Linked DNA regions of Canis lupus familiaris. The protein of the gene in region 1 purifies or fractionates together with the protein of each later gene. This does not show direct contact. Links are inferred from orthologs where the notes say so. Each region holds a gene or a part of one and is shown in the gene's direction. Other genes may lie near its edges. The genes, in order: DDX21, EFTUD2, CDK9, LARP7, NPM1, RPL19 and C1QBP.

Region 1 (3,500 bases):
GCCTGGCTTGGCCTCACATTGTTGCTGTAGCATGCTGTTGGACCCTGGAAGAACTGGGTGATGTGGAGTACTGTGTAGGCTTATTTGGGTTATTCATACTGACTTTTTTTCCCCCAAAGATTCAGAAGACAATCCCCAAACATTGCTTTTTTCTGCAACTTGCCCTCATTGGGTATATAATGTTGCTAAGAAATACATGAAATCTACATATGAACAGGTGGACCTGATTGGTAAAAAGACCCAGAAAACGGCAATAACCGTGGAGGTAAATGATTCATTCAGCTGCTAGAATTAGTAAAAAATTGTATGTCGTGTTTTCCCTGTCTGATTAAGACTGGTAAATATACACTTTTTATGGATAAATACTAAATCCATGATCCATGTGAAGGGCCAAGTAAAGATCTATTTTTATTTGAGTTGTATAGTATCTGTGTTTTCTAAATTTCATTATCTGGTAGTCTGATTTCAAAATCTTTTGGAATCTCTGTCTGAATTATGTAAGTCGGAAGAAGTTATGCCTAGAATTTAAATACTTTGAGAGCAGCAGAGGAATCTAGTACTTTGTGTTGAAGCCATTTTCATGTTAGGTTCTAGCACATAGAATTCCTTTTACCAAGAAACAGACCTGCAGGCTGACTAATTGCATTTTTAAGTGGGTGAAAGGATGAAACATTCAGAAATTTTTCTCTTGTCAGTTCCTTGGTGTCCTGTAGGAATGAAGAGATGATGTTTCTTTTTCTTCATTTTCCTGGTTGGTTCAGAAAATAGAGGAACGAGGGATGCCTGGGTGGCTCAGTGGGTTGAGCATCCGACTCTTTTTTTTTTTAATATTTAATTTATTTATTCATGAGGGACACAGAGGGAGAGGTAGGCTCCATGCAGGGGTCCCAAATGCAGGACTCCATCCCTGGACTCCAGAATCACACCCTGAGCTGAAGGCAGGCGCTTAACCTCTGAGCCATCCAGGCTATCCAGGTGTCTGGAGCATCCAACTCTTGATCTTGTCTTGGGTTAAATCTCAAAGTTGTGGGTTCAGGCCCTGCATTGGGCTCCATGCTGGGCATTTTAAAAAACAAAAGAAAGCAGGAAGGAGAGAAGGAAGAAGGGAGAGAGGGAGGGAGGGAGGAAAGAAGGAAATCGAGGAACCAGAGAAAGGGGAACAATAGCTCCCTACTTTTTTTTTTTTTTAAGATTTATTTTTTAAATATTTTATTTATGTATGATAGAGAGGGAGAGAGAGGCAGAGACACAGGAAGAGGGAGAAGCAGGCTCCATCTAGGGAGCCCAGCATGGGACTCGATCCCGGGTCTCCAGGATCCCGCCCCTGGCTGAAGGTGGCACTAAACTGCTGAGCCACTGGGGCTGCCCAAGATTTGTTTATTTTAGAGAGAGGAAGCATGTGTGGGGGCGGGAAGGGGGCACAGAGGGAGAGAGAGTCTTAAGCAGACTTCACACTGAGTACTGAGCTAGATGTGGAGCTTGATCTCACAATCCTGAGATCATGACCTGAGCTAAAACCGAGAATTGGACTATTAACCAGTTGTGCCACCTAGGTGTCCCACAACTTTTTAAAAGACTTATTAGGGACACCTGGGTGGCTTAGCAATTGAGCATCTGCCTTTGGCTCAGGGCGTGATCCCGGGGTCCTGGAATCAGGTCCTACATTGGGCTTGTGTGGGGAGTCTGCTTCTCCCTCTGCCTGTGTCTCTCTGCACACCTTCTCCCCCCCCCCCCGTCTCTCTCTTTCCATCACTCATGCATAAATAAAATTTAAAAAGGCTTATTAATTTGAGAGAGAGAGACAGCTCTCTGCTTTAATGGTTTAGGTTTGTTTTTTTTTTCTCTACACAGCGGTGGCAGTGGTCTGCTCTAGTTAGGCTTAAACAATTGCTTCTAACACTAGTAGTTTTGAGCAGATGATTTCAGGTTTCAGGTAGGTTTTACTAAATACATCTTTTTTTTTTCCCTCTCATAAGCACCTGGCTATCAAGTGCCACTGGACTCAAAGGGCAGCAGTTATTGGGGATGTGATCCGAGTATATAGTGGTTTTCATGGGCGTACCATTATCTTCTGCGAAACCAAGAAAGAAGCCCAGGAGTTGTCACAGAATGTGTCCATAAGGCAGGTTGGTCCTTGCCCTCCCTTTCCTATAGGGAGGGAGCCTCTTCCAACTGATAGACCCCGTTTCCCTGTGAGAGCTCCCCTGATCTGTCAGTCTCCTCTCACAGATGAGGGAAGGGTGACCCAAACCCGAGGCTATCCTGATGCAGTAGGTTTGATCACTCTTGTCTGGTGATCTTTACCCAGTAAGTATAGCTGGACATTGATTTAATGACCAAGGAGTAAGAAAAAATTTGAGATTTATCGATGTAAGGCACATAGTTTTCCCTCTGCTTTATTTTCAGTGGGAGTATCACAAAATAGAAATGTCTTTACAGGTCTTATGGGTGATATGAAAAGTACCTGTATTGTTGGTATCTTAAGCCAGTTTATTTCTTTGGCAGGATGCCCAGTCATTGCATGGAGATATTCCTCAGAAGCAGAGAGAAATCACTCTGAAAGGTTTTAGAAATGGTGATTTTGGAGTTTTGGTTGCAACTAATGTTGCTGCTCGTGGGTTAGACATCCCTGAGGTTGATCTGGTGATACAGAGTTCTCCACCAAAGGTAAGTATTCTATATTATGTTTCATCTTATTGTTTGTTTTGACTACTAAAACAAATGGGAAGTTGTATTGTTTACTTCCTGTGGTTAGTAATAAGTATCTCTTGAGTGCTGGGAATGCTACATGTGATTTTAAAAACAAACCTCTTCTGAGGTCCTTCCTTCAGAACTGAGTGGAAGTGTGGTCAGTGTCCAGAGGTTGGGAGGATTATTTCTGGTTGGAGGGAGATTTGATAAGCTCATGTAGGTAGGATAACTGCGAAGTGGACTTTGAAGATTGGGGGGACTGAGGCAGGGTCAGGGTGGGATAAACTCATGAGCTAGAGGATATAGAAAAGATAGTCTCTGTGTTTAAAATTGCTTGGGTTTGAGGGTGATGGGAATGTCTTAGGGAGGGCCTGAAGCATAGGTTATGTGGTGTGGACAGTGCTTCATGTGAATAAAAGTTGGTATAAAAGATCTTGTTCTGTTCCCGTTGCTTCAAATGTGAGGACCCCCACAAATTGGCAGATCCTTCAGGATTAGAAGGTTGTTTATAATGATAGAAAAAATACCTGATTACTATGAAGGCACCAGCTCTTTAAAGGGTCCTGTAGAACTGTGCTGTCCAATACGATGGCCACAGCCATGTGTAGCTGTCAAGCACTGGAAGTAGTCTGAATCAACACGTGTACTCTAGGTATAAAATAAACATTGGATTTTTAAAAATAAGGGGATCCCTGGGTGGCTCAGCGGTTTGGTGCCTGCCTTTGGCCCAGGGCACGATCCTGGAGTCCCGGGATCGAGTCCCGCATCGGGCTCCCGGCATGGAGCCTGCTTCTCCCTCTGCCTGTGTC
Region 2 (3,500 bases), on another chromosome or scaffold:
CAGAATCAGGCGCTGAAGACGGCGCTAAACCGCTGGGCCACTGGGGCTGCCCAGCTCCACTTTTTTTTATTGTTTGTTGTTTTTTGTTTTTTAAGATTCTATTTTTAAATAATCTCTGCACCGAACATGGGGCTCTAATTCATGACCCTTAGATCGAGAGCTGCATGCTCCACTGACTAAGCCAGCCAGGCATCCCCAGACCTCACTTTTTTAAAGAGTGATAGATTCCAATGAAAGAAGACAGAAGATGAACCCTTTTTGCTCTTCTCTGGCCCTCTCACTTTTACTGATAACACTGGTTTGTCGGCCTTTTCTTAGGAATGCCCCTTCTGCCAGTCCTGCTGATCCTCATCATTACCCATTTCCTTTCTGACTAGGAACAAGATTACCATGATTGCAGAGCCTCTTGAGAAGGGCCTTGCCGAGGACATAGAGAATGAGGTGGTCCAGATCACGTGGAACAGGTGAGAGAATGTGGCCCTGGTTCCAAAGCTGAAAGGGGTTGAGGCACCAGGTGCCTGGGTGGCTCAGTTGGTTAAGCATCTCTTTTTGGCTCAGGTCATGATGGTCCTGGGATCAGGTTTCACATCGGCTCTCTGCTCAATGAGGAGTCTGCTGCCCTTTCCCTCCCCCCACCTCCTGCTTGTGCTCTGGAGCACATGCACATGCTTTCTTGTGTGCGCTCATGCTCTCACTTATTCGCTCTCTCTCACATGCGCAAAAAATAAAATCTTTAAAACAAAAAAAGACCGGCTGCCATAGCCTACTTGTTGAGTCTCTCATACCACCTGTCCTGGGAAGCAAACTGTCCTCCAAGAAGGCAGAATCTGTGACCCCAGCAGGTAATAATCGCAGAGCTACAGGATACCTCCATTTTCTCCTCCTTCCCCCAGGAAGAAATTGGGAGAATTCTTCCAGACCAAGTACGATTGGGATCTGCTGGCTGCACGTTCCATCTGGGCTTTCGGCCCTGATGCCACTGGCCCCAACATCTTGGTAGATGATACCCTGCCCTCTGAGGTACAGCAGAACTGGCGGGAGCCAATGTGGGGTGCTTTCTTTGCTATTGAGTGGAGGAAACTACAAAGTGTACTTCTTTCCCCAAAAGTATGTTGTGGCTTGTTGTGAATCGTCTTACCAGTATATCTACCTTCTCGTCCCTCTAAATTCTGGTTGTTTCCATGATCAGTGTGCTCACACATGCCCTCATGTTCTGTGCAGGTGGACAAGGCTCTTCTCGGCTCAGTGAAGGACAGCATTGTTCAAGGTTTCCAGTGGGGAACCAGGGAGGGGCCCCTCTGTGATGAGTGTAAGTTCCCCCAGCGCCTCTGTGTCCTCAGCTACAGTCTTCTAGGCTCTTTGTGCCTGGGCATATGAGGTGAAATAGGCTCACCTGTGGGCCCTGGCAGGAGAGGCAGCTCAGCACACAAGGCGAGCCTGTGTCCTGGGGCAGCCTCCTCTCTTCTCTCTCCTCTCTCCCTGTCCTAGTACTATTGCTTGGGACATCCTGGATATACAGTTATTTCTAGGCTGACATTTGCTCTTCAGTCCTGAGAAGAAATGTGTTTGAAGAGAAGTATCAGGAGGAAGATGTATTGGAATAGTTTATAGACCAGGATTGGATTTAGTGGGAAGAAATGTGCAATTCCTTGAATTTATTCTCTATCCAGAAATAATTAAATACCTGCAGAAAATGCACATAAACTAGGAAAGCTTTATGATGTCTGGGCATGACCTGAAACGAACACAAAGAATGTGTGCTTAACTTCTGTCCTCTGCTTTAGGCCATGGTATCCTATCAAAACACCCATCTGCAGGATGATTTTGTGCCATAGCTTTTGTGGCCTCAAGATAGCTCCCATGCTGCTAGAGGCTCTTTGCTGCTCTGCCCTTGGGCCCTTGACACCTCAATTGCTCCTCACTCAGCAGTTTCCCCATCTCTGTTTCAGTGATTCGAAATGTCAAGTTTAAGATCCTGGATGCAGTGGTTGCCCAAGAGCCCCTGCACCGGGGTGGGGGCCAAATCATCCCCACAGCAAGGAGAGTCGTCTATTCTGCCTTCCTCATGGTGAGTGGGTAGGGCCAGCCTGCTCCAGGAGGGCATTAAGTGCAGGTCCAGGAGGTCCAGGCTTTGGGGGCATCAAGACTACAGTCCCTCCAGCCTTTTCTTTACCCAGGTCCTCAGTCGTCAGCCTTCCCCAAGCTGAGGAAACCTTTCATCTTGCCCCACTGCAGGCCACTCCTCGTCTGATGGAGCCATACTACTTTGTAGAGGTCCAAGCTCCTGCAGATTGTGTCTCTGCTGTGTACACCGTCCTGGCCAGGCGCAGGTGAGCCACCAGCATGGCACGTCAGGGAGGGTGCAGAGAGCAGGAGCCCAGCAAGAGGTAACTGGGTTCCTGTGTGGAAGGAGATGAGCCTTCTACACTATATTTGCTCCTTAAAACCTAGTGAGCTAGTTTTTCAGAGGAAGTAGGAAAGATTTGAGGCAATCCCCAGCTTCACTGCAGATACAAATTTGAGGTTTCCTTCTTGGGCCCTTTCTCCTTAGCCTCTGGGGAAAGTACTGAAGTGTGTCAGTGGGGGGAATGTCTATAGGACCTTGTCCCATCAGAGTTTCCACTCTTGCCTAGCAGTCACTGCCCCTTTGACTGCCACAGGAAATGATACTGAGGGCCCCAAGCCTTTTCCACCCACTATAGCATGATTGTGGTTATTCTTTCTTTGGTGGTCACTCTGTGTTGTGGTACATTTGGGGCCAGATTCTCTTCTCTGCTTTGGGTCTCTGTAGGACAAGGGACTCAGGTTTTGTTTTTTTTTGTCGCAGGGGGCATGTGACTCAGGATGCACCCATCCCAGGCTCCCCTCTCTACACAATCAAAGCTTTCATCCCCGCCATTGACTCTTTTGGCTTTGAGACTGATCTACGGACTCACACCCAAGGGCAGGCCTTTTCGTTATCTGTCTTCCACCATTGGCAGGTGAGAAAATGGTGCAGACTGGCCAAGGTCGCCTCCCACCTGTTCAAGGCCAGCCTCCACTGATCTGTTCCCCTTCCAAGCCCCAAGTGAGATTTCTAGCATCCTAGAGAAGAGCCCTAGACCATCGATAACAACCTTACTTTTTAGATTGTACCTGGTGATCCTCTGGACAAGAGCATTGTCATTCGCCCCCTGGAGCCACAGCCTGCTCCTCACCTGGCCCGGGAATTCATGATCAAAACCCGTCGCAGGAAGGTATGCATCCCTGAGGCCCATGGTCAACCCTCAATCCTAGGGCTCTTGGCAGGAGTTGGATCTCTCTTCATTTCTAACTTTGGGACCTTTCTCCCAAAGACTGAAAGAACTGTTCACTACACCATGCAGAGAGGTGCAAACTTTACAGGCCTCGGGTCACTGGCCTTCTGGGACCAGTCTGGCTGGGAAGGGAGCATCTTCTCCTCCCCAGTGGCAATTCCTGAATAGCTGGGCAAAAGTTCCATCTCCCACCATCCTCCCCCT
Region 3 (4,008 bases), on another chromosome or scaffold:
TGGGGCGCCTGATTGAGGATTCAGCAGGATTCAGCAGGAATGCCCAGCGATTCCTGAACACACAGGAGTTCTGAGCAAATGCTAGCCATTTTTGTGATTACTGACCCGGGACTGACCCGCTCGGACGCAGCTGGGTGGGCATAGGGCTCCCGCGGGTCTCATCCCTTCCTCCCAGAAAATTGGGGGTCCAGGGCAGGAAGGCCCGGGCGTTGCTCGCTCGCCGTCTCCAGTGTCGCCGCGCCCCCTAGCGGCCGTCGGTTGCCATGTCAACGGCGGGCGGCTGGGGCCTGGGGAGGCGGCGGCGGGGGCCGTTCTCTCCTCCCAGGACCGGAGGCCGCTCCCTCGGCGCCTCCCGCCTTTCCCAGCGGAGGGGCACTCCGAGCCGGGGAGAGGGCTCTCCGCGGCAGCTAGCATGGGGGGGTAAACTGAGGCACGCGACAAAGCGCTCCGCAGCCAGGTGTCGAGCTCGGGGCCCCACCTCCGAAGGCGGAGGAGGGGCCGCGGGCGGTGACGCGCCGAGGGCGGCCGGCGGACAGCGGGCGGCGGCGGCGGCGGCGGCGGCGGCGGCGGCGGCGGCGGCGGCAGGTGCGGCCGCGGAGGGTGGGAGGGAGGAGGGAGGGGGGCGGGCGGAGGGGGAGGGGAGGGCGAGGCCAGGGCACCTCCCCCTTTATAACGCGCCCCCTCCCGGGCTCTCGGGCCACCTCCTCGTCGGCTCTTCCCATCTCGCCCCCTTGCCCGGCCGCCCCGGGCCCGGGCCCGGCCAGGGAGACCCCAGGCCGCGGCTCGGGGGCCACCCCCCCGCTCGCCGCCCCGCGCAGCCCGGCGGAGGCGGCGCCGTCGGAGGAGGAGGAGCAGGGCACTGCGGCTGGCCCCGGATCGGGCGCCAGAGCGGCAGCGGCTCCGGCAGCAGCGGCGGCCCGGGCCGATGCAGCGGGACGCACCGCCCCGAGCCCCAGCCCCGGCGCCCCGGCTCCCCGCGCCCCCGATCGGGGCAGCCGCCAACAGTGGCGGCGGCGGAGGCGGGGGCAGCGGCGGCGGCGGAGGCGCCTCTGCAGCTCCGGCTGCTCCTGGCCTCCCGGGAACTACAAGTCCCAGGGGGCCTGGCGGCGGGCGGCGGACGGAAGAGGCGGGGTCGGCGCCGCGAGGCCGGAAGTGGCCGTGGAGGCGGAAGTGGCGCGGCCGCGGAGGGGCCTGGAGCACGGCGGCGGGACCCGGAGCGGGAGCAGCGGCGGCGGCGGCGGCTGGGGGCGGCGGCGGCGGCGCGCTGGAGGCGGCCATGGCAAAGCAGTACGACTCGGTGGAGTGTCCCTTTTGTGATGAGGTGTCCAAATATGAGAAGCTCGCTAAGATCGGCCAAGGCACCTTCGGGTAAGGCTGCGCCCCCGGGGGACCAGGCGCTCTGGGCCTGCACCGCTCAAATCCGACGTCACGATGCCCAGGGCCGGGCCCGAGGTGGTCGGGAAGGCCATGAGCGCCAGACGTGTCCCCTGGTTTTGCTAGGCCGCGCTGCGGCCCGCCTGGGCCTGACCGAGCCGGCTGGCGGGGAGGAGCCTGAGGCCTGTGATGGGGGGCGGGGAGGGGTTACGGAGAGGAGCCAGTGGTGGGAGCGGGCTCTCCGAGAGACGCCTGAGTGAGGAGACTGAGGGGAGGAAGTAGAGGCTCGAAGCTCCGCAGATAGCGGGTGGCAAGGTAGGGCAGTGCCCTGGGTCCCCGGCCCAGCCCCGCCCGGGGAATCCCTTTTTTCTGCCCCCCTCCTCTGGTGGGGGAGGGGCGGGCCCTGCAGAAACGGCCTGATAAAACCTCTTGGGTCTCCCTCTCGGCCTGCAGGGAGGTATTTAAGGCAAAGCACCGTAAGACCGGCAAAAAGGTGGCTCTGAAGAAAGTGCTGATGGAGAACGAGAAGGAGGGGGTGAGTATGGGCCGGGTGGGCGGGCCTGCCAGCTCCCCTGGGCTCGGGGTTGGGTTTCCACCCTGCTTCTGCTAGGGCTCTCGTCTGGAGAACCTGTGTGTCTGTGTGTTGGGGGGGGGGGGGTAGTTAGGCAATTTCCGTATTCGGGGAATTTGGCTTCCAAATTGAATTTTTTAATTCAAATGTTTTAGAGCTTTTGATATCCCACTCTTAGGTAAATACGGTTGGGGCCAGGAGGGGGAGCTCATGCCTGCAGAGTGTGCCTTAGTTCCTGAAGTTAGGAAGCCTTTAAACACGGTTTCCTTAGCATTCATTTTGCATAAGGCGGAAAGAAATTCCACTTGGTGGTTTTAAGGGAGTGGCTGGTACTCAGTTGAAAAGGAGCAGTCCCCTCCCTTGCCTCATTGTAGCCCTAGTCCAGCTTCCCAGAGACCTGCTTAGCAAGGACATTTCCTTAAATAGCTGTTTGTTTCCACCTAGTAAGTTAAATACAGGTATAGAGCTAAAACTTAAATATTGAAGAAACTGTGGAACATTTATTTAGTGACGAGTAGTGAAGTGTGTAGGTATTAAGTCCCACTGTTTCAGTTCATTGTCTCAGAGCAACTCATTGAGGGGCACATACTATTTTTACACCCATTTTACAGCTAAGACATCTGAAATGATGTCAGAGCCCGGGACCTTACTCGTTTGCTGCACCTGTGCCCCTTGATCTGGACCACACGGTTGTTCATTGGTCTGTTCATTGGTCTATAGTTGACTCGCTCACCTCAGGCCCCCTCTTGCCTTTCTCCTACCCAGTTCCCCATTACGGCTTTGCGGGAAATCAAGATCCTCCAGCTTCTGAAACACGAGAATGTGGTCAACTTAATTGAGATCTGTCGAACCAAAGGTAGGTTCTTTGGCTCCTGCCCCCCTTTACAGATGGGGAAAATGAGGCTTACTGCCTAAGGCTTTGCAAAGTTGGAAGTGGACACACCTAAATTGCCTCTTCTTAACCCAGACAAACCGACTGTGACTGCTCTTGGGTCCTTCCATCGTAGCTGTTGCTCCTCGAGGGCCTGCCACAGCACCCAGCCCAGAGGAGGCACTCAGGAAATAGTTTTCCAGTGAAGGAAGGCACAGCCGAATATCCCAGTGTCCACGGGCTGGAGGGGTAGAAGCTGTGTGGGGAAATGAGTTGCACGTGGGGTTTTTTACTTTCTTTTTCTTACTCCTCCCCCATTCTTCCCTCCCAGCTTCCCCCTATAACCGCTGCAAAGGCAGTATATACCTAGTGTTTGACTTCTGCGAGCACGATCTTGCTGGGCTGCTGAGCAATGTCTTGGTCAAGTTCACACTGTCTGAGATCAAGAAGGTCATGCAGATGTTGCTCAACGGCCTCTACTATATCCACAGAAACAAGGTGGGGGTCAGCATGGGGTAAGAGAGACCCGGGCTGGGGTGGGCCTCGGCTCCCACCGCTGGGTGGGTGCGACTGAGGGTTCCCCTTGGAAACCTGATTGAGCCCTCTTGCGCTTCCTGCAGATCCTGCACAGGGACATGAAGGCAGCTAATGTGCTCATCACTCGCGATGGGGTTCTGAAGCTGGCCGACTTTGGGCTGGCCCGGGCCTTCAGCCTGGCCAAGAACAGCCAGCCCAATCGCTATACCAACCGTGTGGTGACGCTCTGGTACCGGCCTCCGGAGCTGTTGCTCGGTGAGGACTCCCGAGCGGGCGGAGTGGGGCAGGGGCTGGGCACTTACCCGGCCTCAGTCCCCCACTGCCAGGGCTTCTTGAGCCGCCGGCCCTGGGGCATTGCGTCTCAGGAGGCCCTCGGGCTCAAGGGGCCCTCCTGGTGCGCTCTTCTTCCCAGGGGAGCGGGACTACGGCCCCCCCATTGACCTGTGGGGTGCTGGGTGCATCATGGCCGAGATGTGGACCCGCAGCCCTATCATGCAGGGCAACACCGAGCAACACCAGCTTGCCCTCATCAGCCAGCTCTGTGGCTCCATCACCCCTGAGGTGCGTGGCCAGGCTGCCTGGGCCCCTGGTCCCCACAGGACGCAGAGATCCAGAAGTCCTCCTGGCAAGGGAGGAGTGGGGAGTGAAATAGCAG
Region 4 (3,500 bases), on another chromosome or scaffold:
GTTTGTATTTTATTTATAATCCTACCCTTTTTTTTTAAGCCTGCCCCCTTTCAAAAGAACTTGAAATGCTAAACACTTTGTAATAGGAGGTCCTTTTAAATATAGTATTTAAGAAATGGTTGGATTGTGATTAAGCTTAAGTCTCTGCCTTTGTAGTTTTTGCATTCTAGTGGGGTAGACAGACAATAAAATTGTAATTCCAGGTAGCAACAAGAGGATACAAGGAAATAAAGTGGTAGGGTGCCTGGGTGGCTGCCTTTGGGTTGGGTTGTGGTCTCAGGGTCCTGGGATGGCCCCTGCCCTTATCAATGGGACTCCCTGCTTCCCCCTTGCTTGTGCTGTCTCTCATATTCTCTATCTCTAAATAAATAAAATCTTTTTTTTAAAGGATACAAAATTGTGGCAGATGGAATGGATAGGGTTAGGATTGGCAGAACAGAAATGTTTTTAGATTGAGTGAAAGGCCTCTTTGAGAAAGTGACATTTATAGAGACCTGAATGAACAGTGAAGTAATCCCTCCAGATGTGGGGAGGAGGGTGAAGAGAACAGCAAGAGCAAAGGACTTGGGGTGGGAATGGCCTTAGCATGTTTAAGGAATGGTATGTCATAGTTGGAGTGAGCCTGTTGGAAAGAATTGTAAGAAATGTAGTTAGATATCCCCAGGCCAGATCAAATAGTGCCAGGCAGGCCACAGTAAGGGCTTTGGATTTCGAGTATGATAAACCTTTGGAGGATTTTGTCCCAGAGATTGGCATGCTCTGATTTACATATTTAAATGATTGTTTTGGTTACTATCTGGAGAATTGATGGTAATTGATGAAAATGGAAGATAATGATTGATTGGAGAATTGATAATGGAAGAGTAGAAGCAAACACAAGTTACAGTGTTCTTGGAGGAGAGTAGGCAAGACATGATAGTGTGGACCAGGTGGTTGTGAAAATAGAAAGTATTCTTATTTAGGATATATTTTATAAAGTTAGAGCTAACATAAATGCTCCTAGATTTGTTGTGGCATATTAGGAAAAGAATTTCAGAATTTTACTCTCAGCAGTGTTATGATCAGTGTCTTCTGAGTTGGGAATACATGGCAAAAAAAATAGGTTTGAGTTGGGTTTTTGTTATTCTACATAAGAGAAACTCTTAAGATAAATAAGTGGAGATGTCAAATGAGCAATTGAGTGATGGAATGGGGGGCAGCAAATGGGAGAAGTCAGCTCTAGAAAATACAGATTTGTGAAACATCAGCATGGAGCTAAAAAGCTTAAAGCCAGAGACCCTCAGAAAGGATATGTGTGGAGATAAGATGGAAACCCAGGACTGAATAGCAAGTAAAGATAGAGCTAACTAGGATGGTCCAGTAAAGGAGATTAAGAAAACTCTCCTAGAAGCCAAATGAAGAAAAGGTTTTCAAGGAAGTTTAACTGCAGATGCCCCTGAGGGGTTCCAGTAGTCCATGGAGATCACGGGTTTCAATTCACTAGAATGGTGGAAAGAGAAGCCTGACAGAATGGGTTTAAGGGAGAATTTGGGTGAAAAATGGGATTACTCAGCACTAAATGACACTTGATTGGTTTTAACACTGGGATGGGAAAGGTCCCTTGGAAAAGAAAAACCCGCTTCTATAGCTTACCAGTTAAGTTCCGCTTCTAAACAGAAAAACAGTTAAGGGGCATCTGGCTGGCTCAGCCAGTAGAGCGTGGGAGTCTTGACCTGAGGGTTGTAAATTCAAGCCACATTTTGGATAAATTGCTGAAAAATAAGTTCTTTAAAAAAAATTTTTTTAAATAATCAGGAATAAATTATTTACTTGGAGTTTGAGATGGAGAATGTCTGAATCCCTTAATCTTACACTTTGACAGTTTGGATTAAAAGTGTAAAAGTTAAAGTGTAGTTTGGTGTAATACAGACATACTATATAGGAAGATAATCTGGCCCTGCAGTAAAAGTGCATCAAAAAGTAAAGCTAGGATTCAGAGGTAAAACAAGGAAAATGAAAAGTGACAATTAAGAGACTGAAGATGGGTCAAATGAAAATTTCCTTAACTGATTGCTAGGTGTTACCCCAAAGTTTGTCCTCTGCCAGCTGACAGTCTCTTAAGCTTTCGGACAATTAAAGGCTAATAATTATCTGAAAGTCTTCCTATATAAATTTACCTTTTTTCAATGAACAGGAATGGAAACTGAAGGTGGAAATCAAGAAAAGGCAATGGAAGAATGCACTGAAAAGAAAAAAGAAGTAGAAAAAAAGAAACGGTCACGAGTTAAACAAGTGCTGGCAGATATTGCTAAGCAAGTGGACTTCTGGTTTGGAGATGCAAATCTACACAAAGATAGATTTCTTCGAGAGCAAATAGAAAAGTCCAGAGACGGATGTAGGTTTATTTTACTGTACAACAAATGTTAACAATGTAGTATATATATTATGGTACACCACATATTATATACAGGATTAACTTTTATTTTCCCACGTAAAACCCTCATAAAGGACACGAATTTCCTTAAAGGACTTAGTGTAGGATGCAACAAATTCAGACCAAGATTTCAGTTACTTTGATAACATCCTAGTTTTTGTGGTGGAGCTCCTGGCAACTCAGGTAGACTCTTGACATCAGGGTCAATTTGAGCATTACTTTGGGCCTAGAAGTCCAGGGTTTTTCTTATGTGCTTACAGGTTTAATTCCTATGGGTTTTATGCATAAAGGCATTTTATTTACTCCAAAACCAAAACTTAGTTTAGGAGTGTGATTAATATTTTATCCAGAAGTCCTGGCTTGTTACTTTATTATATTCTGTAATGTATTAACTTTTGTATTTCTATTAGATGTTGATATATCACTTCTCGTGTCTTTCAACAAAATGAAAAAATTGACCACAGATGGAAAATTAATAGCCAGAGCACTAAAAAGCTCCTCTGTTGTAGAGGTAAGAATTGTTACACAATTTATTTTATCACATAATTATTAGTTTATTAACCTCATGTACCCATTTAAAAGCTGGACTTGGAAGGCACCAGAATCCGGAGGAAAAAGCCCCTGGGGGAACGACCAAAGGATGAGGATGAACGGACAGTGTATGTGGTAAGCCATTTTAAAAAAAAGCTCAGAGATAGTGATCACAGACAAAATTGACAGAAACACTTTAATATTACTAGTAAAAATTTATTAACCTTGAGGACTTGTAAAAATTTATTAACCTTGAGGACTTTACTATTGCTTCTAATTTATTGTAGGAATTACTTCCCAAAAATGTTAATCACAGCTGGATTGAAAGAGTATTTGGGAAATGTGGCAATGTTGTTTATATAAGCATACCACATTATAAATCTACTGGAGATCCAAAGGGATTTGCCTTTGTGGAATTTGAAACAAAAGAACAAGCAGCAAAAGCTATTGAGGTAGGTCCAGAACCTAAAAGGAAAAGCAAAAAAATTAGCGAGTACTTTTAGTGACAATTTAATTGGTTTTTAATTTATTGATTTTTCAGTTTCTCAACAACCCA
Region 5 (3,938 bases), about 21 Mb from region 1:
AGTCCTGCATCAGGCTCCCCTCAGGGAGCCTGCTTCTCCCCCTGCCTGTCTCTGCCTCTCTTTGTATCTCTCATGAATTAACTCACACACACACACACAAATTATATATATATATATATATATATCTATATCTATCTATCTATCTATCTATCTGAAACCGGACCCAGGCATATCCCTCCAAACTCTTAGAGGGATGTTAGCATTGGACTTTGAGCTAGAGCATCCTGTCCTATAGCTTCATTCATTTGGACGCTTGGCCCGTTTCCTCGTCTCCAAACAAGGGATACTCACATCTGCCTCACGGGATCTTACACGGGGAAGTACTGCGGGTACGTGGCCCTTTTAAAATCTCGCGTCTGGAGAGATCAACCAGGCTTGGTGCCTGCCCTGCTCATTTGGAAGAGGCTCACTCAGTCCCCCTTAGGCCCCCAGATGACAAAAAGATGAGGGATTTCAACTTCAGAGATGTTTACTCAGCAAGGAAAGGGCTATAAAAGCAGTTGAATAAGTCGGGACAGCAGCCACATCTTTTCTCCCCAACAAGGAATACTCGGTTATCCAGGGTCTCTGGCACCTGAAGCTTTAACTTTGAGGAAACAATGAACTCTGAACCCAAGCCTTCGGGTGAGTCAAAATCCCGAGGTGGCTCTGCCTGCCTGGAGGCCTGAGAGGCACGAAGTGATGGGGAACGGTGAACCGAGCTCTCTGGCTCTCTTACAACCGGCTCGCCCTCCATACCTAGCACCGCCAAGGGCTGCCGCCGCCATTTTGCAGGGTGGGCAGCGCAGGCTCCAGGCGCTGGGCCGGCGGGTGGGAGCGGGAGAGGACGTGGAAGGGTGGGAGGGGGGCAGCGCGCGCCACCAGGGGAGAGCGCGCGTGCGCACAGCGGCGGCGGCGGCGGCGGAGGGGTGGGGCCGGGGTACGAGTGCGCGTGCTCCATGGGAGCCCGCGAAGTACCTGGAGGAGGTGGGGGGCGAGGTAGAAAGGAGTGGAGTTGAAGAGCGCTTGCGCGGGAGGGCGACCGTCAGGGGAGGGGGGCTCCCGAGCACGCGCGCGGAGACGGGACTTGGAAAGCTCTCGCGAGATCTTCGCGGTGCTATATATGTGCGCAGGGAGCCCGCGTCCTTTCCCTGCTGTGATTCCGTCCTGCGCGGCTGTTCTGAGGAACAGTAGTCGTGTGTCTCCGTCCGCCTTCTCTCCCACCTAAGTGCGTGCCACCGCCCCATGGAAGATTCGATGGACATGGACATGAGCCCCCTGCGGCCCCAGAACTATCTTTTTGGTAAGTGCAGGGGGGGTGGGGTGAGGCCGGGCAGGGCCTGGTGGCTTTGAGGTGGGGGTGGGGGGGCGGGAATCCCACTGAGGCCTGGGCTGGGAGGGTAAGCCAGGCAAGCTGGAGGCCCGAGGGAGGGAGGAGAGCCGCCGAGGCCCTGCCCCGTAAGGGATGGGAGGTCCAGAGAGGAGCACGAAGCGGTGAAAGGAGGGGCGGCCTGAAGCCTTGGGCAGGAACGATCCCAGGCCCAGGGCCTGAGGTAACGTAGAACCGACCGGCTGAGGGTTCGGCTTTGCTTGGGGGCACGCGGTAGAGCCACGGGCTTGATTTTCTCTTGAGCTGCGTGGTTTCGTACAGGCTTGGGATTCTTGGCCGGCGTCTTTGATGCAGGGCCCCGGCTTGGTCCTGGAGGTTGAGGGAGTCCGCGGTGTGGGCCGTGGGCTTCCTTTCTGGGGGAAAGGGTATTTAGAGCCTCGCGTTGTCCCTAGGCCTCAAGAGTGCGGAGCTTCAGGGCCGAGTTTCAGCCCCGGTGCCTCGGCCCGTTGCGGGGGGAGGGGAGGCGCGGCCGGGCGTGAGGAGGCCGCAACCGCTGGGAGCACGTGGTTGCCACGTGGTTGGGGGAAGGAGGGGGTGTGGGCACTACATCCGGGTCTCCCCGGTGGCTTGTCACCACGGAGCGTGGCATCCTGGGGCTTAATTGAAGCTGTTGGGCGGGAAATCTTAAGTGAAGAGGCTGGTAGAGCCAAGATTCTGTAAGTCTTTGTTCAGTCCTTAACATCCGTGATGGCAGTTCTCATTTATAGAGCACTTGTTAAAAAGATCGAACCAGCCCACTTTGCACATGACTGATGCTCAGAACTGAAGGCTTGAGGCTTAACGAGGGCTTGTACTTGTAGGTAAATAGTGGGTAGATCTAAACCAAGACCCTTCCTTGCCTCTAGAACTGGTGCGTTGATTTTTGGAGGGAGGCTGGGGGAAACAGCCTTCTTGTGGCCTTGAGCAAACAGCTTTTTTGAAAAGATGAGGAATTTGTGTGGGGTTCAGTAAGAGCTGGTACTGTTTTTGGAATCTTCCCCTCCCCTCTCCAGAAAGCAGTTACATACATAGTAGAGAGGCCAGCTTTGGTTTTCAATCTTAGTGAAATTGTCAGAAGCCCTATCTTTGTCAGACTTTGAAGTAAGTGCAAATCCTGCCCCCACGTTTCTTTATATACCATGCTGAGATTTGTTAATTGAGGTAACATTTAGACATCTATGTACCAGTAACTGTTAGAGGGCAATTAAATGGAGTCCTTTAATTAAAAGGTTATTCTGATGGTACTTGAAACAACTTGCCTATTGATGGGATGGGAGTGGGTAACTTACACCATATGTTACGGCTTTTATTCCTAGTCCTTTTGAATTGCTAGGGTTTCTGGTCAATTTATACTGTATTTTTGTGTTAATCTTTTCTACGGGAAATATCCCTAGGATATATCTATTCTTAAACATAATTTCTAAGCATAATGAACATCATTTCTGTTAACTTCAAAGGTGGAATATTGACCCCTCTAGCAAGTTTTGGGTCTTTTACATCTGTAGTTTATGTCCTGTGAATACAGGCTGTTCTTGTAGGTGTTTGTGTAACCATTCTCGTTTCTAAATTGGTCACTTCTCTTTCGTAGGTAGGTGATTAGTCCTTTTTAAAGTTTATCGATATTGTACATTAGACTTCGTTTCAGATACTGCCAGATCCAGATTTACTAGATCTTTGAGCTTGTTTCTATCTAAAAACAACTAGAGTGTGGTTGAAAATGAAATAGTATAGTTGGAAAGTGGAATTTATAAAGCCCTGTATAAATGTTACGTGATGTTTCTAGACATTGCTGTTCAAGAAATCCAGGAAGAGCTACCTCTGCATTGCCTACTGATAGCTAGAATAGTGGGAAACTTGGTCACAAATTAACTGTTACCTTTCGGTTATCCTCACTTAAGTTTCAGTGTCATTTTTCTCTGTTGCTTTTTTCCCTTGATTTACAGGTTGTGAACTAAAGGCTGACAAAGATTACCACTTTAAGGTGGATAATGATGAAAATGAGCACCAGTTATCTTTAAGAACGGTACTGAAACTTTCCAAAATAAACTACTTGACCTTTCTTGATTCCTATTCCTATTTGTGTGACTTAACATTTTCATAGTAGTATTGTTTATAACTGAGTGTTATAAATACATGATCTTGTACCTGTACTATAAAACTTGGCATCTTTACTTTTCATTTGGTAATGTGAAGTTGAGTCACACTACTGTTCAACTTTCCATATTTGTGTATTTTGCCTCTCTGGCTGCATTAGAAAAAGCCCTTTAGGGCAGTGATAAATTTTATTTTTTTGTCCTCCATAGTGGGGCCTGCAGCCTTACTGCCTAACTTAGAATAGGTGGACAGTAGATGTTAGGTGGTCCATTCTGTGGGTAGCAGATAAAACTATGCCATTAAATATATTTGCTGCGTTTGTTCAAATGAAAAATTGGTTGGCAAGGCAACCTAAAACTTGAAGATGACATTGTGCACCGATAAGTTTTCTGTTAGTGGTAATAATAGGTTTATAATTGCTTAGTTTTTTCTTAGAAGGCAAATTTTGGGGGGATTGTAAAATAGGAACTTAAAGTATTTTTGTTCACAGGTCAGT
Region 6 (4,185 bases), on another chromosome or scaffold:
TTTTCCTCACCCTGGGTTCTACAAATGGATGGGCAGCTTAAGCTGTTTCTCTGATCACATTGAGGGAGAGTAAGAATAAAGCACATCAGCATTGTTCTATGAACAGATCCAATACTGAGCAGGGTTTTGATCTGTCCCTTGGGCACAAGAAAGCTTGGTACGACAGAGAAGTCATAGATATTGAAGTCAGAAAGACCTGGAATTTCAACTTTTGCCACCTCTCTCAGCTATAAAATGAGGATCACACTAACTGTAGTTTTGAAAAAGTGGCAAGTTTTGCTTCCCTTCCTCTCTTTCCTCAGCTGCATTTAGCCCCCAAGAAAGTTCAGATGATAGAGATGGGTGCTCAGCTAGAGCCAAGCAGAGTTAGACCCAGAACTCAGATCTAAGTCTCTTGAACCCTAGAATATTCTCTTTGGGTTTTTGCATTGGGTGTTTCAGAGTAGGAGAAAAGAACTATGGATGACCCTGTCATTCCATCTTTTTGTTTTGTTTAACTTTGACAGCTATTCATTTACTCGGCCAATGCACTATTTCTCAAGTGTTTATTATATATGCAAAGCTCCATGTGAGCCCAACGAGACTGGTTCCTGTCACCTAGAAGCTTGTCTTAATGCTCTCTTTTGCAAGTTAATACATGTGGTTTTCACGACGGATTACAGAAATATGAGGATTAGGTACACTTTACAAAGGAACAAACTGAATCGCCATAAGATTAAGGACCAGAGTGGCGCAAAAACACAAATATCTTTGGTGGGCGCCTGTGTGGCTCAGGTCGTGATCCCATGGTCCTGGGATCGAGTTCCACATTGGGCTCTCCACACTGAGCCTGCTTCTCCCTCTGCCTGTGTCTCTGCCTCTCTCTCTCTGTGTGTCTCTCATGAACAAGTAAAATCTTTAAAATATATATATATACATATATATACACATATATACATATATACACATATGTACATATATATATCTTTGGTGATCTATCCTGTGCTGCAGGGGTTTCCCAATGTACTGGAAGAATGAATAAAAGGTTGCTCTTGACTGATATCTCCCCTCGTTATCTTCTCTCACTCCACTATTTTTTTTTTTTTTCGCTAAGAAAACATCATTCCAAAGAACCCAGAACGCCTGCAAATAGGCCGCTCTAGCAGAACTACGTCCCGCCTGCGGCATCCAGCCGTGACTTCCGGCTTCCAGTACCCACGTGACCGGCCCCCTTGCTGCGCATGCCTATTAGGAAGTCGGACTATACCACTTTGCCTCACCGAAAGGATACATTTTCTGTGTTTTTAAGTTTAAAACCGACTCCCGAAACTAGATTCTGCTGTCTCGGTCTTCACAGAGGATAGGATTGAGTTTAGAGTGTCAGAGGATGAGAGGACCGGCGGGGAGTAGGGGCTCAAGCGGAACAGGGGATGGGCTCTCCCCCTCGCAGATAGTGGGAGGAGCCCGGCCAGGGGGAGTTCTTTCCTTTCGGCGCTGCGGCCGCAGCCATGAGGTGAGGGCGCGCGGGGCCCTGATTTTGGTTGATCCTAAGTGTCGGCGGGCGGCGTGGTTTGCTCCCCTGGCCCCGGGTGGGAGAGATGAAGTGGAGACAGCCCTGAAGCAGCCGGTCCCGGAGCTTGGGGCTGGCCCGAGCGCACTAGGCCCCGGCCTCGGCCGGCGGGGGGTGGGGGTGGGGGGTGCTTCCCGAGAACGCTAGGCCGCGGGAAGGGTGGGCCTCGCACCCCGTGTGGGTTGCGAGCGGCTTGCCGGGACAGTGGAAGGGCCGCCGCAGCGACTAGGCTGTGGCCCCCTTACTCGTTGGGCGCCCGGGATCGGGCCGAGCTCTGCTTCCATGTGACGTAGGACAGGTCTCGTCCAGGCCTCGGGCCTCAGACTACTTAAGAGTGAGGCGATGCCTTCCACCCCGTGGGCGATTCATAAGAAAACTCTTAGGCTAGCGGGACGTAAGTTTATTAGTGTGATAAGACGAGGGAAACAGGCCCAAGGGAAACTAACCCAAGGGCTAGACGAGCAAATCAGACCCTCCAGCCTCGGGTTCTTAAACGCCTGTTCCAGAGCTCATTACCAGAAAGAGCATAAGCCCCCTCTTCATCCCACTTTTATCCATAAACTTCCTTTCCCAGAGGAGAAAACCGAGGCAGAGGAGTTAAGGCATAGCTTGGTCTATGTGTTCGTTCCAGGGCGGCCAGTTGCCCCTGCAGGAATGCACTGCCCAAAAATCTTGCTATGGGAAAGATTTCTTAATATGGGGGTGGAGGGAGGGATGTTGTCTTAAATACTGAATGCCTGTACACATCCACCTCCCGTGTCCTATCCTCAGGACGTTAAAAGATTGGAAGGCAGGTTTTGCCAGGGAATGGCTTCCAGGGGCTTGATCAGGTTTTCTGTTTGTCACAGTATGCTCAGGCTTCAGAAGAGGCTTGCCTCCAGTGTCCTCCGCTGTGGCAAAAAGAAGGTCTGGTTGGACCCCAATGAGACCAATGAAATCGCCAATGCAAACTCCCGTGAGTTCTTGGGATCTTCACTCTGCTCCTCTCATCCTTCATGAAATGAAAGCTGTCACAATTTTTTTAAAAATATTTTATTTATTCATGAGAGACAGGCAAAGGGAGAAGCAGGCTCCCTGCAGGGAGCCCAGTGAGGGACCTAGGACCCTGAGATCACAACCAGAACCAAAAGCAGAGGCTCAACCACTGAGCTACCCAGGTGTCCCAAGATGTCATGGTTTTGTTGACAAACTGTGGAAAGCTCATAGTCTGGAGTCTTCAAAAATGAGGGTGCCAGAGATAAAGAGGTGTCAGTCATGCAGATAGCAACATAGCCCTGTTACTTCCATGTAGTACTGTTAAAGAAAAATATGTTCAGTGATCTTCGTTAAAGATAGGCTTTATTTAGGACCATTGCTGCAAGTGTAGGGACCGCTACAGTGGGATTTTACAGTGGGGGATGAAAGTTGCAATCAAGTCTGAACATAGCACAGCCAAGTAGAAAGTTTTGGCCAAGGAGAGTGGTACGAGTGTCAGCGGGTGGAAGATTAGTAAGAGGAAACTCTAATGGTAAGGGAGTGGTTGTTGCTAAAGACAGGCCAGGGGGATCTGACCTCACCTGGGCAATGCTGGTGGATGAAGAACCTGATCTTGTTTCAAGGTTATCTGCTTAAATGGACTTAAACAATGACCTTACAAAATGCAGAATTTATAAGGAAGTGCACAGGCGGGCCTGGGAAGTGGTTCCAGGACCCTGATGAAAGTTTGGTCAAGCAAAGAATGTTGGTCAGTACCAGGGAATTTCTTAACCAGTTTGAATTTATGGCATTGTGACATGTGTTCAGAATATCCTAATCTTGTCTTAGCCCAGTAGCTAATAGGGGAGTCTGGATCTGAAGGACCAGGCCGTATCTGTACACTGTTGATCACATATCCCCAAATACATATAATTTGAGTGTGCTGTAAAACATTTAGAAAAAAATAGAACAAAAGTGCAGTTTTTTTGTTTTTTTTACAAAAGAGAAATAAACAGAAAGTTCCAGTATTTGTATCATTTTGAGACCACTGGGCCAGGAATGTAAGCGATGTCTGCACTGTCCTGTTTGGACTCTGGGTTGTGACTGGTATTTGGGGGGCCAGTTCACTGACTAGCTACATTGTTTTCCCAGGTCAGCAGATACGAAAACTGATCAAAGATGGGCTGATAATCCGGAAGCCTGTGACTGTCCATTCCCGAGCTCGGTGCCGGAAAAACACTCTGGCCCGCCGGAAGGGCAGGCATATGGGCATTGGTAAGTGTGTTCTTCCCTTTTCTCTGAGACTTAAATTAGAGTTGCCTGAGTCTAGACTGGGTTATATCCAGGATCTTTTTCACTTCCATTTTGTCTCCCCTCGAGTCCTTTTCTTAACTCCATGATACCTGCTGTGTTTTCTCTGTACAAATCAGAAAGTTGACACTAGTGTTGGATTTGAAGGTGTTGGTAGAAAGAGGTCACATTTATTGATCAACTACACTATGCCACGGATTCTTCTGGGTACTTGAAAATGTTATTCAGTAAATCCTAAAAGCATTTTCTAGGGTTAGGATGATTTAGGGAGACGAAGGTCACACCCCCTTTAAAGCCCCCTCCAGCTAACCATACTGCCTTTGCATATGCCCTGTAGAGCACACATTACTCAAGGGAGTAATTGCCTTGTT
Region 7 (4,235 bases), on another chromosome or scaffold:
TTACATGTCCTCATAACCTGCAGCCCTCGGACAGGTACTGGGGGAGGCAGAGGGTGAGTTTCCTCTGGGAAGCCCTCGACTCTGAGTTTGACAACAGCCAGGCCTCAGGTTTCCAGAGTCTTCTTCAGTGTATGAAAATCCTCTTAAAAAAAATTTTTTTTAAAAGATTTTATTTATTCATGAGAGACAGAGACACAGAGGGAGAAGCAGACTCCCTGCGGGGAGCCCTATGTAAGACTCAATCCAAGGACCCCAGGATCACACCCTGAGCCACAGGCAGACACTCAACCACTGAGCCACCCAGGTGCCCCTATCCTCTTAAATCTTCCCTAACCCTTACTTCCCCAAGCCCTGGAGTGGCTGCATGCCTTCTGCCCCAGGCTCCTGGCCCTGGGCTAAATGAAACCACCACTTAGCTCCAAGATGCCCAGGACCCAACCAAACCACACGGAGACATTCCAAATAACTCCACCAGAGACGACCCCAGGGGCAGCCCCACACAGGAAACTAAAGGATTTGCAGCAAAGGAGGAGGAAGGAAATAACTTCCAAAGCCGTGACTGTCAAGCAGAGGCGAGCAGGTTATTAAGGGTGAGGGATGAATATCCAGGGAGAGCAGCTGTGTTCCCTGCGCAGGGGCGTCCATCAGGTTGCTCAGGTACAAGGTTGAAAACACCTTTACCTGCGCCCTGTCAGGGCAATGAGGCCCCTGCTCCCCCCGGGGGAGACCTTAACCTTGTGAGGGTGGGGCCAGGGGAAGGGGCGATTAGCGCCTCCCCCCCCCCTCCCCCGGGCCACGGGCTGGGGTCTTGGGCTCATCTCCGATGGGAACACCCGCCTTGCTCTTGGACCAGCCCTGGGACTTGTACCGCGAGGTTGAAGTCTGGGATGCGGTTCGGCCGCCCACGTAGTTCTGCATTCCCTTTTATTCCTTAAAATCCGTAACGACTAAGGCTTTTGCATCTGCGATTCTGACACCGCCTTAGGAGGTTCTTCGAGGAGCTGCTAGGAGTAGGGTGTGGGTGCCAAGAACAGCTGGAGGCCCCAAGTGACCTCTCCGGGGCCTTAAGAGCTCTCTTTTTCTGGGCCCCTCCCTCCTCCTCCCAGCTTCCTGGTCCCAGAACAATGCAAAGTCTTGGGAACTGGGTGCACGCTGGTGGGGGGGAGGGGCACACGCTGGGGGCCGTGTGTGTGCGCGTGCCGGGGCTGTGCATGCTGGGGAGGTGCACACAGGTGGTGTGCACGCCGGGGTGGTGTCCACGCTTGGTAAGGGTGGCGGGAATTCAGAGGGCCGGCCCCGGAGCGGAGCTACCCTCGGGGCTCGGGGTCCCGCGGGGAGACCCGGCGCCGGCGGCCCCGCTGACCTCGGCGGCCCCAGCAGAGGGCGCTGCCAGCCCGACGCCCCGGGCCGGCACTGCACAGGCGCGGAAGCGCTCCCGGGGAGGAGCGGGACTTCCGGCGGCGCGCGAGCCGGGATCCGGGCCTGGTTCGTCCTTCGCGCCCGCACGTGCGTTGCCGCGATGCTACCGCTGCTGCGCCGAGTGCCCCGCGCCCTGGGCTCGGCGGTCGCCGGGCTCCGCGCCGCCCCCGCCCTGCCGCCTCCGACCCTGCTGCGGCCCGCGCCCCGGCCGTGCGTGCGGCCCTTCGGGCTCCTCCCTGTGCGCGCGGGCCTCCTGCGCTCCCGCGGGCCCTGCGGCTGCGGCTGCGGCTGCGGCGGGCTGCACACCCAGGGTGAGGCTGGGGCGCGGCGGGGGCGGTGGTCCGGGGAGCCGCGGCCAGGGGGGCGGGGGCCCAAGGCCCCAAACTCACGACCCCCTGCAGTGGACGACTCCAGGTTAATCCCACGTGGCTTGAGGTTTCCTGCCTTAATCCCGAGAGTGGTGGCTCCCTGGCTGGCGGTGATGCTTCTAAACCCCGGCAGCCGGCTCTATCCTGAGCCTCGGAGGTGGATTCGGGGAGGCGGCTGGTCAGAGTTAAAAGCAGGGGAGGTCGTGTGTGGTCTGGGGCGGGTAACGGGAATCGCCTGGCTTCGCTGTGAAATGCGGTGATGGGCTCGTTGCTGGAAGTCATTTTTCCAGAATTGAGCTCAGCCTCCTGCCACGGGTGTCCAGCCCGTTTCCAGGTTGGGAACCGAGGCCCCGTGGGTCTGACTCCGTGCCCAGAGCCTCCGTAACAGCACAAGCATCAGAATCGGTCGAGGCCAGGTTTCCCACAGCAATCACCCCAAGTCGTTTGTTGGTTTAAGACTGACTGGTTTTTCTTTTTCTGTATCTTATGGGTTTTCATTGCAGGGGACAAAGCTTTCGTCGAGTTCCTGAATGATGAGATTAAGGAGGAAAAGAAAATACAGAAGCACAAGTCCCTCCCCAAAATGTCTGGGGGCTGGGAGCTAGACATGAATGGGACGGAGGCCAAGTTAGTGCGGAAAGTAGCTGGAGAAAAGTAAGTGTGGGCTGCAGGGGGTCCCTCTGACCCGGCGCAGCCTCCCCGATCTTCCAGGGATGCCTTAGAGCAGGTCCCCGGACACATGATTTCCAGGTGCCTCATTCACTGCACGCAGATTGGCTGAGCGTGGATTTATTAAGGAAGGAAGGATGTCCTGGTAAGGAAGGCCCTGCCTGACCCAGGCACGCATATCAGAAAGTCTTCTTAAGATTTCATTTACTATTATTATAATTTTTTAAGATTTTATTTATGCATGAGAGACATAGAGAGAGGCAGAGACACAGGCAGAGGGAGAAGCAGCCTCCATGCAGGGAGCCCAACATGGGACTTGATCCCAGGTCCCCAGGATCCCCTCCGGCTGAAGGTGGCGCTAAACTGCTGAGCCACCAGGGCTGCCCTATTTTTGAGAGAGAGAGCACGCACATGGGCAGAGGGAGAAGCAGGCTCTCCTCCTGAGCAGGGTGCCCTATGGGAGCTGGAGCTCGACCCCAGGACCCTGGGATCACCACCAGAGCCAACCCCAGACCCTTCACCAACCAAGCCACAGAGGTGCCCCCGACTGAGATTTGTGCAGTTCTGACGGATTGGGTGCCGCCTCTGCAGTGCAGGGTTCTGGCCGAGGGAAACCCGGCCCTCCCCCTGACATTTGACGTTTACAGTGGGGAGAACCAGCCTGTGGCCCCCATGTGCGTGGATGAAGCCACATGTGCTTAGTGTCCCCGTTAGAAAGGTACAGAACTTTCCATTTGCTTCACCTCTTCACCATCCCTTTTTTGAGTAAAGTTCTGAGATGTTGTGAACTGGGATCTGATTCTTTCTTTGCCTTTATTTGCCATGTTTTTTTTTCCTGCATAACTTCCCCTAAACCATTTTCTGAGGGTAACGTGTAGCCAGTGGAGTAAATATAATGTTCTAGTGAATAGAGCGGCACCTCTGTGCCCAGGTGCTCAGTGTGGTCAGCACCGCGGCACATTAGATAGGTTTTGTAGCTGAATGTGACACCAGCATCCCTGTACGGGAGCAACTCCAAGCACACCGGCAGGGGGGTCCCGAGTACACCCACGGAGTGGGGGAGCTGGCACCTACCTGCGCTGGGCACTCAGACTCGGAGCACAATTTGTCAGGGGAGGGTTCTGTAGCGGAAGACTGTCATGAGGTGGGTGTTTCCAGGCTGCTTCCTCACGATATGGAACTTCCCACAAGTATTTTAAAGAATGGATTTAGGGGGGGCGGGGGCTCAGTGGTTGAGCATCTGTCTTTGGCTCAGGTCGTGATCTCAGGGTCCTGGGATCGAGTTCCAGGTCGGGCTTTCTACTCAGCAGGGTATCTGCTTCTCCCTCTGCCCCTCCCACTGTTCGTGCTCTCTCAAATAAATATATTTTTAAAAACAGCTCTGGCAGCTGTGTTGACGGGGAGCCCCCTCCCCGGGGCCTATCCTGGCCCTCTCATAGCAGCACCCTTGTGTGCCTCTCTTCCCCTGTCCCTCTGGGCAGATCTCATGGAGTAAAGTTCTTACGAGAGGCTACCTGCTGTCCCAGCACCCTCTGCTGCTCACTGCCACCGAATGGCTGGTGGCCAGGAGCCCTGGGTTGGCAGGGTGGGGGGGCAGTTAGTAACCCACTGCGTCTGCACGTGGCGGAGACAAGGAGATAAAGTGGGGCCTGTGGGTTTATTTTTTATTTTTTTTTTAAGATTTTATTTATTTATTCATGAGAATACACAGAGAGGAGAGAGAGAAGCAGAGACACAGGCAGAGGGAGAAGCAGGCTCCATGCAGGGAGCCCAATGTGG

Evidence for each region.
Region 2: the proteins of DDX21 (region 1) and EFTUD2 purify together in Homo sapiens (affinity purification with mass spectrometry; 3 studies listed by BioGRID and IntAct, with this or other methods). This does not show direct contact. The link is inferred for Canis lupus familiaris from reciprocal best matches to the Homo sapiens genes DDX21 and EFTUD2.
Region 3: the proteins of DDX21 (region 1) and CDK9 purify together in Homo sapiens (affinity purification with mass spectrometry; 3 studies listed by BioGRID and IntAct, with this or other methods). This does not show direct contact. The link is inferred for Canis lupus familiaris from reciprocal best matches to the Homo sapiens genes DDX21 and CDK9.
Region 4: the proteins of DDX21 (region 1) and LARP7 purify together in Homo sapiens (affinity purification with mass spectrometry; 5 studies listed by BioGRID and IntAct, with this or other methods). This does not show direct contact. The link is inferred for Canis lupus familiaris from reciprocal best matches to the Homo sapiens genes DDX21 and LARP7.
Region 5: the proteins of DDX21 (region 1) and NPM1 purify together in Homo sapiens (affinity purification with mass spectrometry; 3 studies listed by BioGRID and IntAct, counting the BioPlex papers as one, with this or other methods). This does not show direct contact. The link is inferred for Canis lupus familiaris from reciprocal best matches to the Homo sapiens genes DDX21 and NPM1.
Region 6: the proteins of DDX21 (region 1) and RPL19 purify together in Homo sapiens (affinity purification with mass spectrometry; 3 studies listed by BioGRID and IntAct, with this or other methods). This does not show direct contact. The link is inferred for Canis lupus familiaris from reciprocal best matches to the Homo sapiens genes DDX21 and RPL19.
Region 7: the proteins of DDX21 (region 1) and C1QBP purify together in Homo sapiens (co-immunoprecipitation; 3 studies listed by BioGRID and IntAct, with this or other methods). This does not show direct contact. The link is inferred for Canis lupus familiaris from reciprocal best matches to the Homo sapiens genes DDX21 and C1QBP.

What each region holds. Positions count from the first base shown.
Region 1 is NC_049225.1:20,838,776-20,842,275, forward strand, and holds part of DDX21 (nucleolar RNA helicase 2), read left to right. Parts: intron 1-119; coding exon 120-265; intron 266-1,976; coding exon 1,977-2,126; intron 2,127-2,505; coding exon 2,506-2,667; intron 2,668-3,500.
Region 2 is NC_049230.1:18,514,319-18,517,818, forward strand, and holds part of EFTUD2 (116 kDa U5 small nuclear ribonucleoprotein component), read left to right. Parts: intron 1-377; coding exon 378-464; intron 465-893; coding exon 894-1,020; intron 1,021-1,221; coding exon 1,222-1,309; intron 1,310-1,949; coding exon 1,950-2,068; intron 2,069-2,235; coding exon 2,236-2,330; intron 2,331-2,827; coding exon 2,828-2,981; intron 2,982-3,128; coding exon 3,129-3,236; intron 3,237-3,500. UniProt on the Homo sapiens protein: Required for pre-mRNA splicing as component of the spliceosome, including pre-catalytic, catalytic and post-catalytic spliceosomal complexes. Component of the U5 snRNP and the U4/U6-U5 tri-snRNP complex, a building block of the spliceosome.
Region 3 is NC_049230.1:55,704,457-55,708,464, reverse strand, and holds the start of CDK9 (cyclin-dependent kinase 9), read left to right. Parts: upstream 1-1,208; 5' UTR 1,209-1,276; coding exon 1,277-1,368; intron 1,369-1,827; coding exon 1,828-1,909; intron 1,910-2,710; coding exon 2,711-2,801; intron 2,802-3,147; coding exon 3,148-3,314; intron 3,315-3,436; coding exon 3,437-3,608; intron 3,609-3,765; coding exon 3,766-3,914; intron 3,915-4,008. UniProt on the Homo sapiens protein: Protein kinase involved in the regulation of transcription.
Region 4 is NC_049253.1:7,462,054-7,465,553, reverse strand, and holds part of LARP7 (la-related protein 7), read left to right. Parts: intron 1-2,173; 5' UTR 2,174-2,175; coding exon 2,176-2,374; intron 2,375-2,823; coding exon 2,824-2,924; intron 2,925-2,995; coding exon 2,996-3,079; intron 3,080-3,231; coding exon 3,232-3,396; intron 3,397-3,485; coding exon 3,486-3,500. UniProt on the Homo sapiens protein: RNA-binding protein that specifically binds distinct small nuclear RNA (snRNAs) and regulates their processing and function.
Region 5 is NC_049225.1:41,660,374-41,664,311, reverse strand, and holds the start of NPM1 (nucleophosmin), read left to right. Parts: upstream 1-1,138; 5' UTR 1,139-1,224; coding exon 1,225-1,282; intron 1,283-3,291; coding exon 3,292-3,371; intron 3,372-3,932; coding exon 3,933-3,938. UniProt on the Homo sapiens protein: Involved in diverse cellular processes such as ribosome biogenesis, centrosome duplication, protein chaperoning, histone assembly, cell proliferation, and regulation of tumor suppressors p53/TP53 and ARF.
Region 6 is NC_049230.1:23,125,187-23,129,371, reverse strand, and holds the start of RPL19 (60S ribosomal protein L19), read left to right. Parts: upstream 1-1,385; 5' UTR 1,386-1,487; coding exon 1,488-1,492; intron 1,493-2,397; coding exon 2,398-2,504; intron 2,505-3,655; coding exon 3,656-3,778; intron 3,779-4,185.
Region 7 is NC_049226.1:31,558,774-31,563,008, forward strand, and holds the start of C1QBP (complement component 1 Q subcomponent-binding protein, mitochondrial), read left to right. Parts: upstream 1-1,435; 5' UTR 1,436-1,519; coding exon 1,520-1,730; intron 1,731-2,290; coding exon 2,291-2,441; intron 2,442-4,235.